Sus scrofa: one gene and its partner. The protein of the gene in region 1 interacts with the protein of each later gene in a pairwise test. Links are inferred from orthologs where the notes say so. Each region holds a gene or a part of one and is shown on either strand. Other genes may lie near its edges.

Evidence for each region.
Region 2: the proteins of MYPN (region 1) and ANKRD1 interact in a two-hybrid assay, tested with the Homo sapiens proteins (2 studies listed by BioGRID). The link is inferred for Sus scrofa from reciprocal best matches to the Homo sapiens genes MYPN and ANKRD1.

Annotation. Positions count from the first base shown.
Region 1 is NC_010456.5:71,297,504-71,301,861, forward strand, and holds the start of MYPN (myopalladin), read left to right. Parts: upstream 1-1,380; 5' UTR 1,381-1,468; intron 1,469-2,038; exon of another isoform or gene 2,039-4,358. UniProt on the Homo sapiens protein: Component of the sarcomere that tethers together nebulin (skeletal muscle) and nebulette (cardiac muscle) to alpha-actinin, at the Z lines.
Region 2 is NC_010456.5:102,609,724-102,614,291, forward strand, and holds the start of ANKRD1 (ankyrin repeat domain-containing protein 1), read right to left. Parts: upstream 3,116-4,568; 5' UTR 3,056-3,115; coding exon 3,029-3,055; intron 2,367-3,028; coding exon 2,187-2,366; intron 1,308-2,186; coding exon 1,170-1,307; intron 1,048-1,169; coding exon 940-1,047; intron 1-939. UniProt on the Homo sapiens protein: May play an important role in endothelial cell activation. May act as a nuclear transcription factor that negatively regulates the expression of cardiac genes. Induction seems to be correlated with apoptotic cell death in hepatoma cells.

The DNA of each region.
Region 1 (4,358 bases):
TCAGGGTTGGTTTCTTTCAGAAAAATTATGAACTTAAAATTCCACAGAGTGTTCCTTTAAAATACTTACTAAAAGAGAGAGTAGGCTTTCTGTTCATTTTTACCCTTAATTTTTTTCCCCCAAATACCACAGAAACATGAACTTTTAAATATGTACAGCAGTTATGGGCACCGCCTTAAGAGTTAACCTTAGATTTAAGCCTGGCTCAGTCACTTACTCATCGTGTGACCTTGGAGTTTTTAACCTCTTTCTAAGCTCCGGATTCTCATGGCAAAGTAAGAATTCTAATAGTACCTACTTCACAGATTGTTGAAGGAATATGTAAAACAAAGCACAATGTCCATAAAGAGCTTAGCATAGTTCCTAGCATATAGCTAAGGAATGTTAACTTATTTCTACTAAGATGATAAGTTTAGATGTGCATTAGTACATTTTATATATACACACACACACACACATATATATATATTTGCTTTTTAGGGCCATACATGAGGCATATGGATATTCCCAGGCTAGGGGTCCAATCAGAGCTGAAGCCGCCAGCCTACACCACAGCCACAGCAACAGCAATGCCGGATCCTTAACCCACTGAGTGAGGCCAGGGATCGAACCCATGTCTTCATGGATACTAGTTGGACTCATTACCGCTGAGCCACAAAGGGAACTCCTACAACCATTACATTAATGTGGTGAGCAATGGAAATCAACTGTGGGTGCAGGATTACACACCTGATACTAATTATCTTGGATGTCTTCAGTAACTTAATGTTAATCATAGATGCTCTTTAAAAAAAACCCAAAAAACAAAAAAACTAAAAAAACCCCTCTGGGAATAGATTTTCTTCTAGAAATAATACTTCCTAAAAAGTATAAATTTTGATATGTCCTTATATCAAACGCACAATAAAGGAAGCCTTACTGTGCTTTCATGGAAGCCACATAGTAAAGCTTTAATCTAATCCCCCCAAATGGGGGAGCATATATTAAGTTCATAATAATTGATAATTTCCCCAGATTTACTTCAATAAATATATCAACCATACACTCAACTTTGTATTAAGTGAAGGTGTTTACATGTGTCACATGCATCCTGCACACAGATATTTTGTGCATCCCTTATGTTTTATTCTTTAAAGTGTCATCATTATTACCCTTTTCATCAAATCTAAGGAGAAATCAAGTTAAGTCTTTTCCTTAGTCATCTTAGTCATTATCCACCCCCACCACCCATCCAGGATAAGAACATCGTGCAGACTGAGTTATTAAAGTGGATCCAAAAGAGCAATCTGTTCTAAATGACTGTCCCTGGATCTGCCACGGAACCCTGTAAATACCCTTCATTACTCTGGCGGGGCAGTATCACATTTCCTTCATGCTACTTTTGCGGCTGACACAAGTTAGGCAGTGAGATTTGGGCTTTGGATGTTCCTGGTTGATTGATATAAGGATGGTCTTTCTCCTGGGACAGGTAATCACAAATTTACTTTTCAGGATAAAAAGTATTCTATTTAGAGGGTTTTAAAAATGATTTTAGTTTTTAAAACTAAATAGGTTTTGAACTTAGAGCTTTTAACTGCTTTTTAGTTTGAGTTTTAAGCAAGTGGTTTCACTATCATTGAAACAAGAAAGACCTTTCTCAAGGATTTAAATGTAGTTCTCAATTACATGGGATCATGAGGTTTGTATAAGATCCTCTCTAATCCACATACATATATTGTTTTGGATGATCACGACCTTGTCTCTGGTGTATTCTTCTCATTAGCAATGTTTAGAAAATAATACATGTCTCTGTTCTTTAAAAATAAAATATAGGGGATTGTTGTTTTTTTCTTGTGATACTGGGGGGGAATAACTCAGTATAAATCTATGAACTTTAAGCAAAACTCATTGAAAATTTGGTAAATGTAAGAAATTTCTTTTAAAGAATAAAAATCTATAGCAAATGGGAAAAGAGCAAATACAAAAATTTAACCTGAATCTTAGTAGCACAGAAATTCTCACATGCTTATCCTCCAAGTGAAGACTTCCTCTGTCATAGATCTTCCAGATTCCTTGGCATTCCTGTGGATCACCCCAATGTGAGTAAATTGTTTCTATAGCTGAGTGACTGAATTAAGAAAACAGCTGAGGGCAAGCACAGGATCATGTTCAAGCCACAATGAACACGTGTTAGATGAGCCACTCAACTTTATGGGTTAGGCTTAAGGCATGTAAGCTTGTGTTTACTTGTCACTTATGGAATTTGTTTCTAACTATGTTGGATATATTTTTTCTTAAGTTTTAAAAATTATTCTTTGTATCAGTAAAGTCTGGTAAAATCTAATCTAGTAGATTTGTGGTGTAATACTTATACAATTACTAAGACGATACGCAAAGTAGGAGTTGCACTACTTGGGAGCAGAAACTAATTCTAAAAAAACTAGAATCTAGAATGCAAGTTTAATGTAGTACAAACAAGGTGTCCACAGTAGCTGAATATTATTTACTTAAAATGTTTATATCCAGCTCTTTTTCAAAGAGCTCAAAAAAGTTTGTACACTATCTGCATTTGAAAACATTACAGTAAAAATGAAGAGAAAGATGACTGCTATTCAGACATACTTGGGGTCCTTCTTCTGCAAGTCTTTTTTTTTTTTTCCCATTTCAAACTGATTTTAATTCTTCCTATTGATTCCTAATTCCATTGCCCAACCAACTGTATTTTATCTTTCAGTATGTATCTCCTGCCACCTCAGTATTCTATACCTGGGTGAAAGGTAGGATACCAGGCTTATCATGCGACAGTTTGCAGGGAAGTAGAAATGGGTTCACTTACAGTGTATAGAAGCATTTTCCTTTGGAAAACCAAATTTGTTAAATGAAGTTCCACTTTTCCATGTCCTTATTCAAGACTTAGCAGCACTTATGTTGACCATACCGCAAGATCTGAATAGGACAGTAGGGGAAGATTCTCTCTTTAAACAAAAAAATAAATTGTTGGAGCATGTACATACATAGAAAACACAGAAACACAACTAAGTAGTCTTTTAGTTTCAGGGCAGGATTAAGTAAGAGAGCAAACAAGCCTGTACACTGAAGATATAGCTTATGCAGTAATGAAAGTAACCTACCCATATAACTCTAATCCAATAACCTATCCATATAACATATCCATATATCCATATCCTTGTGCCCTCTTCCCTACTCAGGAATAGTTCCTTTGACCTGTATTATTTTCAAGTTTTCCTCAATACTCTTTTTCATTTTGCCCATTTCAAAGTTCCTAAACAGAAGGTATAGTGAAGTTTCTGATGTGATCATAATAAACAAATTTCATATCTATTCGATATACTGCAGGGAGTCTCACAGTAACTAAAAAAGGTAGAAAGATTTCTTAGTAAATGCCATGAGGTCAGGAATTGGGGTATATTTTGTGTACTGCTTTATATCCAGTACCTAGTACACAGTAGGCATAGGTAAATATTTGTCCAATGAATGAATGGGAAGAAATCCTACAAGCAGTTGTGTGATTTAATTAAGAAAGCTTGGGTTAAGCCAATGTATTTCATGCTATTCAAATCTAAGAATGATCTTTAAAAAAAACCAAATGACCAATGGCATTTATCTGATTTTTTAAAACACAGGCTTATTCCAAGATTGAAACAATAGGGTTAACCTTTTTTTTTCCAAATTAATACTCTGAAAATGCATGAAATTTATGTCAAAGAGCCTATACTTTTAACAAGGTAGATTTTGGGGCAGACATTGGTTTGGTTAAGGATTCTTTTTCATTGTTTGGTAATGCTTATGAAAGAAGAAATCTGGCATAGATTTTTTTTCAAAAATAATATACAAAAAGTTTATTCCAGGTACTACGAAATAACTAGCTGTTGTAATATGTTACATTATATAGTATTTTGACTTTTAAACAGTATCCTGATTAGTCTTTTTCTGAAAAAGTTATCCAAACTCATTTGTTACTGGGTTTATTCTCAGGCTGACGGCTTTCTCCTCTCCATTTTTTCTGTGATCGCTAATTAACAACTTTTTTTTTCTAGTTAACAACTTTTAATGTTTGTTATCGTCTGCTTTTGCTTAACCTTTGGACAAACAGTTCGAAAAACTCTCAGCTTTAAAATATTAGAACTTAGCTCCATACTGGCTTTTCATAGCCAAATTTCCTAAAATGTATCAGTGATTTAATGAGAATCAGTTTCTATTCCTTAAAACTAATTTCCTGAAAAGTTAAGGGCTTTGATATATTTTTAAAATAATGCCTCTTTTTTTGGACAGATGGAATGTGTTCTATAATGAATTCAGTATTTACTTCAAACACAAGTCAATAAACAACCTGGGCCTCTAGCTGTAAGTGAAATTCT
Region 2 (4,568 bases), about 31 Mb from region 1:
CTTGAGTGCTTCTTTATGAATGAGAAATGTCAGGTTTACTAAAATTGTCGACTAGGACAATTTTTCTGCAACCAACATTTGAGTTTCCTGCAATATACATTTCTAAGTGCTTAGAGGTCTACATCAAGGCATGTAAACTTAAAAAGTTCAAAACTACCTAAATGCTGACATTTCCCTTTCTTGTATTTTTGTGCTTTCATAATTTGTGTGGTATTTGCCATGCAGTTCAGGCAGTTTTCTTCCATCTGGGACTGTTGCTGGGTTGGATATCAGAAAGTATTCAATTCATTTTCACAAAAATATGAGACATTTTTAGTTCAACTTCAGAAATGATCCCCCATTTCAATTCATGGGGGAAAGGATACAAAAAGGATTAGTAATTTCTGGTAAATATGCTTCATATAAATGAATTAATAGACTGTGTGTGCTGGAACACCTTGAGGCATTATTTCACTCCAGTGCCCTCTATTTTCAGATAAGGAAACTGAGGTCTAGAAGATGCACATTGGCTGCTAAAAATCGAATAGGCAAATAGTGTTAGAGACAGCACTTAAACTTCAGTCTGTGGATTCCCTGTGTAGAGCTGATGATGTATTTGATTCAAAAGATAATTCTAATAATATATGTCTCTAATGGGGACTCAATAGTCCTGCCTTATTAAACGTCTATCCCAAAGATCTAACAATTAAAGATAAACTGAAAAATCAGTCAGAAGTATATGAGAGTGCAAAAAATAATGCAGTCCATAGCGCTAATCCAGCATTTTCTCTTTTTGGACCACTGCACTCTCCTGTTAAAGCTACTGGCATATGTGGCAACAGCTGGGGAGACTGTTTCAGGTGGATTGATTTTTTGGCACCAGATTAGCAAGGCTGCAAGAAAGCATAAGAAGCACAAAATTAATGAGCTGGATTTTGCAGTGCTTTGTAGAAGTCTTACCTCATCACAGACATCTGGATTGTTCTTGTCTGACAAGAATTTTTCTACCACTGGCAGTTTATTCTCCAGGGCAGCTTTCAGAAACCTAGGCACATCCACAGGTTCTGTCTAAAGCCAGAAACACAGGGTGAAGGTTACCATGAGCTTCCAACATTCAGTCAAACCCCCCAACAGACATTCCTCTTAGCATAACACCGAGGCGTAATATTGCAAAACCAGACAACCCTTACAATGACTTCAGGTTCAGGTTCCTTCACAACTGGAACTTTCGTTTTCCTGTATTTTTTCCTTTTCTTCAGTTGAATGATTATTTCAAGGTCTTCTAAATTTTCAAGCTTTGATCTTTGTTCTAGTTTCTTCTTCTTGAGCTAAAAAAGAAATCCATGTTTCAGAATACAGTGAGTTCTACTGACAAGCATTCTGCTTGTGTCTAAACAAAATCTTTAAGATCCAAGCTAGGTATGTGAACGGTGTGAGCAGAAAAATAAGAAGTAAAAAAAATTAAAAATAAGTCTTTGACTTCAATTTAGTGATTTCTTATTCAGGTATTTTGAGGTCTAATTTTTCAGCTAATTGCCTTCATCTTCACATCTCGATGCTTGAAGCATGAACTTTTCATTAGAGATAGGATCTAGTCTCTAAGTGATGATTTTGTAATTATTTCTATAATGCTCATGATTTTTCTTTTAACTCAGAAGACTCCAGTGGTAAGTTTTAAGCTCTAAAATGTCAATGCCAGTGTCTCTCAGGTGCCCCACTAAGCAGAGCTCATGAAACAGACGGTCTTGTCCCAGGAACTACAGCTCACTAATGCATGTTTCATCTGTGGTTAGTAAGTAATGAAAGTTCACCCAGCAATACATTTGTCAGCACAGAAAGAGGCCACAGTCAAAGAGTGATCACAATGACCACAAACCACATCAGTGAGAAAAAGGAGGCTCCCTTGCTTGGGATTAACTTGGCAGTATATGACATCAGGAATTCACTGGACACGTTTCTCTTTCTGAGTCTGTCAGTCAGAACATGGTTATAGGACATTCAGTGATTGATTCTGAATCCAGAGGTCATAGTCTTGCCAAAGAATTATTTCCTACAGCTTCTCCCATTGAAGTTGCCTCTTTATCGGTTCGAATTTGGTAAAGAAATGTCATTGGAATGGTTGCATTCACTTTGTCTCTCTCCTCTCCTTCCTGCCTGGCACCTCCACCTCCAAGCTCCCTCTGGTGAATTTCATGGACGGTCCTTACCTCGGCCTCGCGCTCTTTCTCAATTTTCCACTGTTGTTCTCCCAGGCTCACAAAGTGGGCCGGAAGGGTTTTCAGGTCCTCTTGCTTCTCTAAAGTGACAGCAGCTTCATACTCTCCATCTCTGAAATCCTCAGGAAGGAACTCCCCAGCATCCCCACCGCCGTTCTTCTTCCCTGTAACCTGCAAGGGAAGGAGACAGCAGGGTCAGAAGTAGCAGGGCCTGTCCTGGGGTCGTTCTCCACAGAGGATGCGGCGAGAGCCCCTGGGCCTCCCTCTCTGCTGACAGTGGCCTCCATGCCCCACACTCTCAGATGGCAGGCCGCGATGCCTTGCTTCAGTGTTCTGGGATTATCTTCAAATGCTTGTCCTCCTGTCTTGGCTAAATCAAGGTTTAGGTTAGGTTGATGTATTTAAATCTACTTTTAATCCACTTAATCACATTTTTTCCTAGCAAAATCATAACAACCTCCCCCCACCCCGAGATTATTTAAAATTCTTTCATTTTAGGTACTTTTGATGATCCCTTGCCTTGCGTAGTAGCTTCCAGATATATATTCTTGCAATAGAACTTCTCCCCTAAGGCATTTTGGATAACTATATGTGATTCCACACTTTAGTAAGAAAACCGAAGAAGATAATAAATAGGAAGTAGGTAGAGAATTCATTCCTGGCAACTCCATCTTTTCCAGTTTCACTTATTTCACCACATAAACCAACCATTTTCCATATATGACACATTCAGAGTACCTATGCATTATGCCTGAAAGAAAAGGGCATTTCAATTTTCAAATAAAAATCAAGGCTGCACTGTTTTCCACTGTGTAAAATAATGCCTTACATACCAGCTCTTCTACTTTCAGAACCATCATGTTGACCTGAAGTTCGTCTGTATGGTTTTCTTCTGGGGGATGAACCCTGGAGTCAGCCCTTGGGAGCCCCTCCACTGCCGTCAGTTTATATAGCTAGGGCCGGGTGAGATAATCTTCCAACCTGGGAACCCAAGTAACAGCCCGCCCCCTCCTGTGGCCAACTCAGAGGCAGGTGAATTCTCATTCCAGACTCAGTGTCTGGGAAGCAGGAGAGGGAGGGGAGGGCAAGTAACCCCACTGAATATGTGAATCAGGAAGAAATGTGAGAGGGCCATTCCTTTGTCAGTGACCGCACCGCTCAGCAATGCAAGTCATCCTATTTATCGGGAAGCCAGGGGACAGCTGTCTGTTGACATTGCACCACACCGCTGCTCCTTTTCCTTCTTTGTCAGCTTTCATATGACCAAGCCTATCAGGAAAATGTAAATGCCCCGTGTATCACACCCCCAATAATATCTTTCTGATAACCAGACTTATCAACACGTCACTTGGGGGAAGTGTTGCTTTAGGACATCCTATTCCCGTGGGCAAACAGCCCAAGAGGAAAGGATCTGGGTCCTAATGGCCCTTGTCTATATCTGTTTGGAATTCTCTGGAGTGATGTCTGGGGCTAAAAAGGCCCCATGACATGCCACCTACCATCATTATAAGAAATTGAAAGCATTCAGTAACGCACTTCTGTTTTATGGTGTCACTGGCCATAATTAGCACATGACATGCTTTCTGCCTTCTAAAACAGCATACTTACTGGAGCAAGTAGTACTCAAAAAGTTTCTGAAATGTCTTGAGATAGGTTGTGTGAGACAACCTATGTAGTTATGGTACGACCTTGATTCGATCAGAGAGCCAGCGTTCTCAGGTGCTGTGGATAAAAGACTCACCTGTCGGAGCTTGTCAAAAAGACACATCCCTGGACCCCACTGTGGGACATTCTGAGTCGCTTTATGGTGAGTTCCTAGGAATCTGTATTTTTTTCAAAGCACTCAGCAATTCTGATGCATCAGGGTTTGAGACAGGTTGCATAGGAGCTGAGAGCTTTGCTTTGAGGTGCGGTGAAAATCCGTTTCTGGTTTCTCATCTCTGAGGTGTTAAATTATGTAAAAATATTTAGGTCTCCTTACAGTTCAAGGAGATACTGGAATTATTATCTCCATAGCCATTTAAACAACCCCTCCTTTGTTTTTCAGTAAAAGAAAGGAGGGCAGAGTGAGAGAAAGGGAGTCGGAATGGAGAAGTGTGTTAATTAGGATATTACATTGGCCTTTCTGTGTCCGTCACTCCCACAAATGTACCCACTCAACAAACACAGCTGCCATTCTCTTCCTCCTTGAACTAAGCAGCCCAGGGATGATTTTTCTGGAACTTTCAGAATGAGATATTGACACCCCCCCCCAAAAAAAAAAAAAAAAAACCAAAGGGCTGGTGAAGAAGGACCCTCCCAACAACTCCTGTGTGTCTGTTCTGGTCTCCTAATGTTCTATCCTAAAGGAGTTTTACTTAAAGGAAATTTACT